Linked DNA regions of Oryzias latipes. The protein of the gene in region 2 purifies or fractionates together with the protein of the main gene of each other region. This does not show direct contact. Links are inferred from orthologs where the notes say so. Each region holds a gene or a part of one and is shown on either strand. Other genes may lie near its edges. The genes, in order: parp12 and rnf114.

What was found.
Region 1: the proteins of rnf114 (region 2) and parp12 purify together in Homo sapiens (affinity purification with mass spectrometry; 3 studies listed by BioGRID and IntAct, counting the BioPlex papers as one, with this or other methods). This does not show direct contact. The link is inferred for Oryzias latipes from reciprocal best matches to the Homo sapiens genes RNF114 and PARP12.

The regions. Positions count from the first base shown.
Region 1 is NC_019864.2:30,384,817-30,389,357, reverse strand, and holds the start of parp12 (poly [ADP-ribose] polymerase 12), read left to right. Parts: upstream 1-1,724; 5' UTR 1,725-1,752; coding exon 1,753-2,081; intron 2,082-4,130; coding exon 4,131-4,266; intron 4,267-4,344; coding exon 4,345-4,541. Other genes in the region: ccdc113 (coiled-coil domain-containing protein 113), read right to left, coding at 79-228, 298-408, 881-1,025, 1,368-1,420.
Region 2 is NC_019865.2:15,131,990-15,136,250, forward strand, and holds the start of rnf114 (E3 ubiquitin-protein ligase RNF114), read right to left. Parts: upstream 2,946-4,261; 5' UTR 2,861-2,945; coding exon 2,724-2,860; intron 2,213-2,723; coding exon 2,062-2,212; intron 1,976-2,061; coding exon 1,869-1,975; intron 1-1,868. UniProt on the Homo sapiens protein: E3 ubiquitin-protein ligase that promotes the ubiquitination of various substrates. In turn, participates in the regulation of many biological processes including cell cycle, apoptosis, osteoclastogenesis as well as innate or adaptive immunity.

The DNA.
Region 1 (4,541 bases), on a different chromosome or scaffold from region 2:
TTAGCTGATCTCTTCTTTAAAATGTTGACAGAGGTTTGAAATCCTTCCTGCTGTTGATGATTGAAGGCTAAGTTTTACCTTTGAGCCGTCTTGAATGCAGCACACCAGCCTTTCTGCATCCGTCCTTTCCCGCCGGCTGCTCCCCATGAAGCTGACTAAGTTGCGTTCAAACTGGCTCCTGGACTTCCTGATCTCCGCTTGGCGTACATCTGCTTCCATCCAGGAGGCCTGGAACGCAAAAGCAACAGCTGCTGCGTGAACAGGAGCCAGAGGTTAGCTGGCGGGTCACGTCCTGACCTTCCTGCCGTCGATGATCCGGTCAAACTTCTGCTTCAGCTTCTCTTTTTCTTGTTGCGTCTCTTTTACTTCCTGCTGAGCGATGTGGAGTTTTTGTCTGAGGGTCAGCATCTGTAAGGAATGGGATTTAGTTTACCGTTTAAAGACCCACTCTGATGAAAACTGGGTTTTTAACGTGTTCATGGAGCATTTTCTGTCATGATGGAGGACACGGATAAAGAAAATTAAGATTAAAATGGCATTTCTGAGTATTTCTTCGTTCAAATCTATGTGAATCAGGAGCGGACGAAAAAATGCAGAAACTATCTCCTAGAAAAAGGTTTTTTTTTTTTTAAATTTCGGCTAAAAGCGGCGTAATAATGATTAAAGACGACTTTGAAAACAGATCAAAAAAGAAACAGGAAATAAGTTGCTCTGCAGCTACAGACTAACAAGAACAATCAAGAAAAACAAATCTGCAGTTTTGAGTCCTAAAAAAACGAATAAATCCGGTTTGAGAGTTTGCAGAGGTCACAACGGACCGACAACAACCATCAAATGGGTCATGATGGTCGGTCAGGACCGCCATCAAAAAGCCTCTCACCCCATCAGCCGTCAGACGCCGCGCTCCTCCAGTCTGGAGCTCCGGCTGCTGCTGCTCCTGGGGCTCCAGCAGCTCCTGGGGATCCCGGCGCTCCATGAAGCGCTCAAACATGTCGCTCTCCCCCCGAAGAATCGCATTTGAAACTCTGTGGGACGTTTTAGCACAGGCGTGTACGAGGTTGACAGAAACAAACACTTTATTTCACTTTTATTGACTTGTAGGATATAAGCCTCTGGCATCTCGTTTTCAATGGGGGGGGGGGGGCACTTTTTTATTTCAAAATAAACGTTACAGTAGTATATTCTTTATTTACAAGCATTTCTCACTGATTGTTGTTTCTTGGCAACAACCCATATAGGGATGGAAGCTCATAATGTTAAAGTCATCAAATGAGCATAAATATGGTATAAAGTTGGTAAAAATTTCTGAAATCGCAGAAAAGGACATTTTTTAAATCACAGTCTTTAAATAAACGAAACGTTTTTACCGTAGCTGTTGAATCTGCTCGTGAATTAATGTCGTTGTCCCGTTTCTTTCCATGGTCTTCGCTTCCTGCGGTTGCTAAGGTGAAATAACCTGCCGGTTTGGTTGCTATGGACGTCCGTCTACGTCATGACGTAAACAGCGTCCTAACGTAAACAATCAGAACGGATTGCTTTTATATTTAAGTGACATGTGTTAAAATTGTGTTTTTTTAACCAACTCCAAAGTTATATATTTGTCACTAAAGATATTTATCGTAACTTTTTTAAAGTGGGCGGGGCTTCAGTTGAGGTGGTCACCTTTCTCATCAGTTTAGGTTTCGTTTTAGTTTCTGCTCTGCAGACCTCACAGCTGATGCTCCGCTGACACCGGGGACCGTTTCCTTCACGATGACGTCAGACATCACCGCGGCGGTCGTGAAGCTCCTGAGCGACCACCACGGCAGTCTGGACCTCCAGCGGCTGGAGCAACAGCTCCGCCGCCGCGCGGGCTCCTTCCCCGCGTCCGAGCTGCGCGCCGCGCTGACGGACGAGGCTGTGGTCGCCGTCCGGGAGGGCAGGCGGCCCGCGGGCCGCGGCCAGCTGGTGGGCCCCGACAGCCTGCTGGTCCTGAAGACCCCGCTGCGGCTGTGCCAGGCGAAGAGCGGCGCGTGCGCGGGCGCGCGCTGCGAGCGCCTGCACCTGTGCAAGTATTTCGTTTCCGGGAACTGCTCGTTCGGGTGAGTTTCGCTCTGCAGGTTCTTTGACCCAGAGTTCCGGTCCGGTTCGGTTCGATTCGATTGAGTCAACAGTTTCCTTCCAGAGAAAAACACAGAAAAGCTTTAAAGTTTTTTTTTTTTCTTTTTAAAGCTTTGAAGTTTCAAGTTTTCATTTCTGAAGAAGTGTCGTCATGTGGGCGTGGCTTCCAAATGAGTTTCGGAACCATTTTCTGGAACGATTTAGCTTTTAAATAAATAAAAAACCCTCAGTCCTTACATTTCATACTTCAGTTCAGTTTGGGTGTATCAGAATAGAAAAGAATATTCCGTTTAGTTTTATCAATTTAGTTTTTTTAGGTACATTTTTTTATTCATAAATGTCGTTTTATGACAAATAAGCACAACTTTTGTGTTTCAAAAACGATCTCCTGCTTTTCTTTTTATAAATCCCTTTAAAAAATACAAAAAAGAAAGCTATAAATCTCTTTAACTGTTTCTTGGATTATCTGGATGAGTTTTTTATTTTTAATAGATTTAGTTTATTGCTTCTTTTAGTTTGCTTTTATATGTCTATCTAGAATCTTCACAGAGTTTCCAATTCATAAGATTGAATGTCTTATTTATTTTAATAACTTATAACTATACTTTATTATATTATTTATATTGTTTTCATTTACTGCTTTGACTTTGTTCTAGTTTTCTGTTTGTAAAATCCTTTACTGCCTTCTGTTTTTGGATTTGAATGTTCCAAAAATGCTCTGTAATTTTGAATTCTGTCAATTAAAAAAGAAAGAAGAAGAAACTACTGTCGCCATGGATACGATGACTCAGGAAGCACTGGAGGGGGGTGCATTTTCCATGTGTGACGTCACAGCTCCATTGTTTTGTTTTTTTGCAGTCAGTGTTGTGAACAGAGAAAGACACAGTTTCACTTCATCTGCTTCTCCTCTACACCCCCCTCCTTCTCTTTGCTCCTCCTCTTGACCTCCGACCTCAGTCAGCATCCTTTTGATTTCATGCCCCCTCCTCCCCGCAAATTGATGACGTCACTGCAGGAGAAAGCTTGCGGCCAATATGTCTTTTGAGGCCAAAATCCACAAAAGGCATGTCGGGGAGATCCAAAGGAAGTTTTGAAATTATTATGGGATGGCCACAGGATCTACGTACAACTTGATGGACAGTTTGCGGCAACGTGCAAAAATTTAGCAAGTTTACACATTTATGTACAAAATGGGAAAAGAAAACTTTTGTTCAGTCGATCGTCACAAAATTCCACACGCCACCACGCTAAGTCTACAACCCAAGTTTTGTTGACCTTTGACTTTGGGAAGAGTCCCCCCCCATCTCGGATTTTCCTTAAAAAATCCCTTTTAGTACCTTCTAGAAATGTAAACTCCTCCTAGGGATGTTGTCGACCACAGGAAGTGGAGGCGGGATTTAGCCCATTTAGGGAGGCGGTAGGCCCCGCCCTGCTGAGAGTTTGCATTTCCATTTGAATTTTGACCCACAAAGAGCACAATGCTACGCAAATGTAAAGGGACCAAAACCGCACAGCGTTTTACAATGAATGCTATGGATTTTAAGGAACTTTAAAATGAATCTAAAGCAAACCATTTATTGAAATGCTGGTTTTAATACTGTATAGTAAATTTCCAAATGCATTTTCAATTCAATTATGACAAAAAAAACATGCTAATTTGAAATGCAATTGATTTAATTATTTATTTTTTAACAATTGTCATATTGAAATGCAAATTTGAATACTGAATCGCATATCCCTTTGAATTATGACTCCAAACAACTTGAATCGGCCTCTGCACACCTGTGGATTGGACCCCAGGTGTGGTGGAGCAGACGGGCGATTCAAACTCCAGGTCCAGATGTCTCTGGCCTACATTCAGCTGATTACCTGCACCAGGCGTGTTGTTCCCCATAAAGAGCAGAGGTGGTTTGATAAGAAGCAAAGCCTCCAGGACTGGAGTTTGACAGCCACTCATGTAAACCTGCAGGGAGGAGCTCCTTCAAGAACCAGAGTTTGGTTTTTAACGGAGAACGCGCTTTCCTTTCCAGGCACTCGTGCAAAAACTCGCACAGCCTGGCCTCTCCACACAACGCTGTGCTGCTGCAGAGATTCGGTCTGGAGGAACTGAGTCAGAAACAGCTGTTCCAGCTGCTGCTGCAGAACGACCCTTTCCTGCTTCCTGAGGTAGGTGTCACGACCTCGAAGGGACGCAGAGGAAGTCGCCGCCGCCGCTTCGTGACGCCAATATCGTCCTCGCTGCAGGTGTGCTCCCATTACAACATGGGCGACGGTCCCTTCGGCAACTGCAACTTCACCACCTCCTGCACGAAGCTGCACGTCTGCAGGCACCACCTCCAGGGGGACTGCCGGTTCGGCGGCTCCTGCAAAAGAGCTCACGTCCTGGACCAGCACGGACTGAAGCTGCTCCAAGGGTTGAGTCCGGAGAACACTCAGAACCT
Region 2 (4,261 bases):
AAATATGACCAAGGATTTTTGATTTAGTCTAAAAATAGCATGATTGTAATTAAAAGAGCACTGGAAATGCTTTCACAATGGATCAAAAGATTATTGGAGAGGAACTTTAAGGTCATCACTTCGTACCAACTATAGTACACTTTTCGGTCGTCACTTCTGCCAGCGCAGGTAGATGATCAGACCTCAAACAGTGTGAAACAAAACCAAAATCCTCCTCTGTTTGTTGTTCAATAAACCAACAATCAAGGACAACTTGACCTTTAAACAAGCTGCTAGACACAATTACTGGCCTTGAGAATGTTTACTCCGAAGAAGCTTTTTTTTAATGTTGGATATATAATAGTTGGGTCTGTCAAAGTGCAGTAGACACCTTATAAGCAGGCCCTTTGCAGGTGCTTCCATTTATACTGTTACATTATGTTTTGACCTCTGCTTGTAAAATTCCACATCTTCTGCCAAATCGGACGTTGGTGCATAGTCAACTGCTTTGGGAGAATATTCAAAATCCCCTACTGGTTCACCCATGACTCAAGACTTTCTTCAGGTTATATCACAGTCATTTAGGTCCTCTGACAATAGCATGATCCTGATACCCTGCTCTGTCACGCCTAAGACAAGGGAAGTCTAAAGATGGGCTTTCATCACCATTTTGCCAAAAAAGCTTTTTCAGAAGATTACTAATTAGAGACTGGTCTTAGGACTTTAAAGAATAAAATACAGGTTGTGAGGATGGGAGACATGATTTTCATTCCAACAGAGCAGGAATATTTTTGACGGTGTAGGTACCACAGCCATTCGGCCTGCAATAACCTTTCTGGGTCCTTCAACTAGTGCCGACGTCACATTATGTGATTGGCTGTCCATTGGTCCGATGACGTTTCAGATAGTGATTGGTCTGGACAAATTACGATACAACCATAGAAGTGCATTGCAGCCGAACGGACTGTGTTCCGAACCCTTCTCCGGACCGCACACTTTAACAAAGCACCTTCCCTGCCTGCAAACACGAAGCTACAAGACTCCAGCTGCTCTGCTCAGAGACATGGTTCGCTTGTGTGGAGCAGCAGGTTCATTCTAAAAACCACAGATCTTTTTACAAAGTGGGTTGTGGCAAAATCTCTCCATAAACATTACAAAGGATAATGTCAGACACAACTTACGAGGGAAAATAACTTTATGTAACAAAAGGAAATGTGAAATGAAAATATGTAGAGCCCGAGCAGATCTGGATGCTATGTAGTTTGTCCACGTGGTGCTACCGTAGTGTGACGTCATCCTCAGTCGAAGGGACCCCGAACGGTTATTGCAGGGCGAATAGTAATGGTACCTACAATGGCTCTATTCTCAACTCCCACTTCTACACCTAGATAAATGAACAAAAGCAGTCAAATATTGACCCCCCTTTTCTATACAATGGAGACAAAACCATTTACCCAGAAGGCATCTGTGTCCTGGACACATGGTAGTGAACAATGAATCATCATTCAACGTCTTGTGATGGTTATGGACTTACAGACACTTGAGGAGAGGGGTTAATCTACGTACAAATGAAAATAATTGGTAGGTATGTAAATATAAGTAATGACCTTTCATAGACAACTAATTCCACTGTGGCTGTGAAACCTGTGCAAAAGCATACAAATAAAAACCACATTCAATGATTAAAATGTGCACCAATAGTGGTTTGAGCATCCAATGTACCTGATTCTATATGATTCTATCCTTGTAGGGTTTTTGTCAACTAAAATTTCTATTTTTTCTCTTTCATTGTTGTAACTGCACATACTTTGTAAAAACAAAATAACATGAAAACCTTTGTTACTTATTTATGACTACAACCTGATGTTTTTGATTTTGTTGTGCCTTACCTCACAGCAGCAGGCTGGCTTTGGACACTTGTCCTCACCCCTTCCTCAATATAGTCCTGGTATTTTAAACAGGCAGCTGTGTGGCTCCTCATCTGAGACAGAACAATCTTGTGCAAAAGAAGAATTCATTAATAAATGTAAGTTGAAACTGTGTGGTTAATTACGTACAACAAACGGTTGCCTCATAGTATACCTGAACTCCACATCCCTTACAAGCTGAGATTGATGACTGGATGAGGGCTTCTAGATCCACTGCTTTGGTCCACGGCCCAACTGTAGTCCTACATACCGCACATACGGGCTTTTGAGGACGCAAACACTCTTGCAAACAATTGTGACAGAATCTGCCAAGAGGTAGAAAGAAATAACAACAATAAAAAGACAAATATTTAAACAAAATCCTCACATAAATATAATTGATTAGTTGGAATTATTTAATACCCACACAGCTCTCAAAGACAATTATTTTTTACTTTAGCTTCCGGTAAATTCGATGGAAATCCCCACCTCAAGGGGGCGCAGGGACTTGTAGTCCGTCACATTAGTCTTTCGAGTAACTGCAAAAGATTTATGAACTACATTTCCCTAATAAAGCCTATTCTTTGATGTAAACAAAACTGAAACTGATTTAACAGGCTAGAATAGGTTTTGCCAAATATATACACGCAGAAAAAGACAACATTACAGAATTTTAGCTCATAGCGAATCTAAGAATATTAACGTTGGCATTCTGTTAATGCCAGAATGCGTTAAAAGATCAAGCATTTCCCTTCATTGTTTTTAACTGGTATCGTTTCATCGATGGTGCTGAGCCTCAGTAAGGGGAGGGTGGTCAAAATAAGGCGAAATACTTACGTATGTCCACATTGTGTTCTGACAGGTCTCTCAAAGATTTCGAGGCAAACTGGACACATAAAATCTGACACGTCGTTGCTGCCGTCAGCAGTGGTTTCTCTCTGTTGTGCAGCGCTAAATCCTCCGCGCACCGCCATTTCTATTTCTTTTCTTCACTGCATTAGTTCCAAGCAACCCTTCCCATAGCAACGTCACTGGGTTTTGGTTGTTTTTTTACGGCGTGGGGCGGAGCCACCGCTGCATGTATGAGCAGAGGCTGCTCTACGTGCAGTTCTATTTATTCTGTCTGGCAGTGCAGCAGTTGACTCAAACTTGAGGTCTATGGCGGAAATTCTCCACCATAACTGTAAAATCCAACCACCTCCAAGTTCTACTAAGTTTAAGGCAGTCATTCGGCGACTGGAAAATATAACTTTCAATTCAAAAGAGAATGTAATCGTCCTCGTTTTCTAACGTCATTGTCAGTAATTGGGGAATTTAGAATAATGTCCGTATCCATCATCTTTTTTAGGTGCAGGTGAGGTGATCGAAGAATGCAGCCTGGTATTGTTACGTTTGGCCTCTGATTAAACCAGTAAATATTTTATCTGCATAATTAAAAACATAAATATAAACCAAACTATTGGCCTTTGTACTATTGTGATCCAAATCAACACTTCCTTATTGTGGGTGACTTTAGGTGGTGAAATTAATTAGCGTCTAAAAAAACTAGCGTTTGCAGTGTCTAATGATTAATGACTGACGGTCTACCTATAGGGTTTATTATGTGCATCTGTTTGTTGGTTTTGTCTAATACTAATGACTGTCAGTGTGGGCTCTGAATCCCCTCCCTTTACACGTGGGCCCCTAGTGGTCATGAACTGTCAAGATTTTGCGCATGCGTACTCCGCTAAAAATGAATTTTCAACAGCTGAGGAGGCGTAACTAGCGATGGTTAGCACTTATGAAAAGGTAAGATAACGATTTGATTGTGTTTCTGGGTTGGTTATGACTCGTAACACCTACAGTATCGTAATAACATGTTTGTTGATAAGAGAAATGGCTTGTTATTTTATCTGTTTGGGTAATTTCTCTTATATAGCGTGAAATAGCTGAGTGAGTGTAGCAATGGAACGCCCTGCTAGCCCGCCCAGAGTCAATTGCTAACTAGCCATCTGCGCTTAAATGGGCGTTCACTGCTTAGCTTGTACTCATTTGGGGGTCAGTGCCAGTTTTATTTAGGATGTCGAAAGTCTTTTAGAACACGTTCTACAGTGGATGTGTTGTTTTACATCACCCGTGTTAATTAACGATGCTGACCTAACTGATGCGCAGTGAAAAGGCATGTTGATGTAGCTTGCTAGCTAACTGGATATCCAATGCCAGGGCAAAAAAACTGGAACAGCCACCCGATTTATTTACCAGGAAACGACGTCCAATTTCCTGGACCTCTCCTCTGGCATGAAAACATTGCAGCTCGTTTTCATAAGTCACCTGTCGGTTCAGTTTGCCTGTTTTATGTCCCGCCATATAATTAGGGTAACGTGTGGACAGCCCCG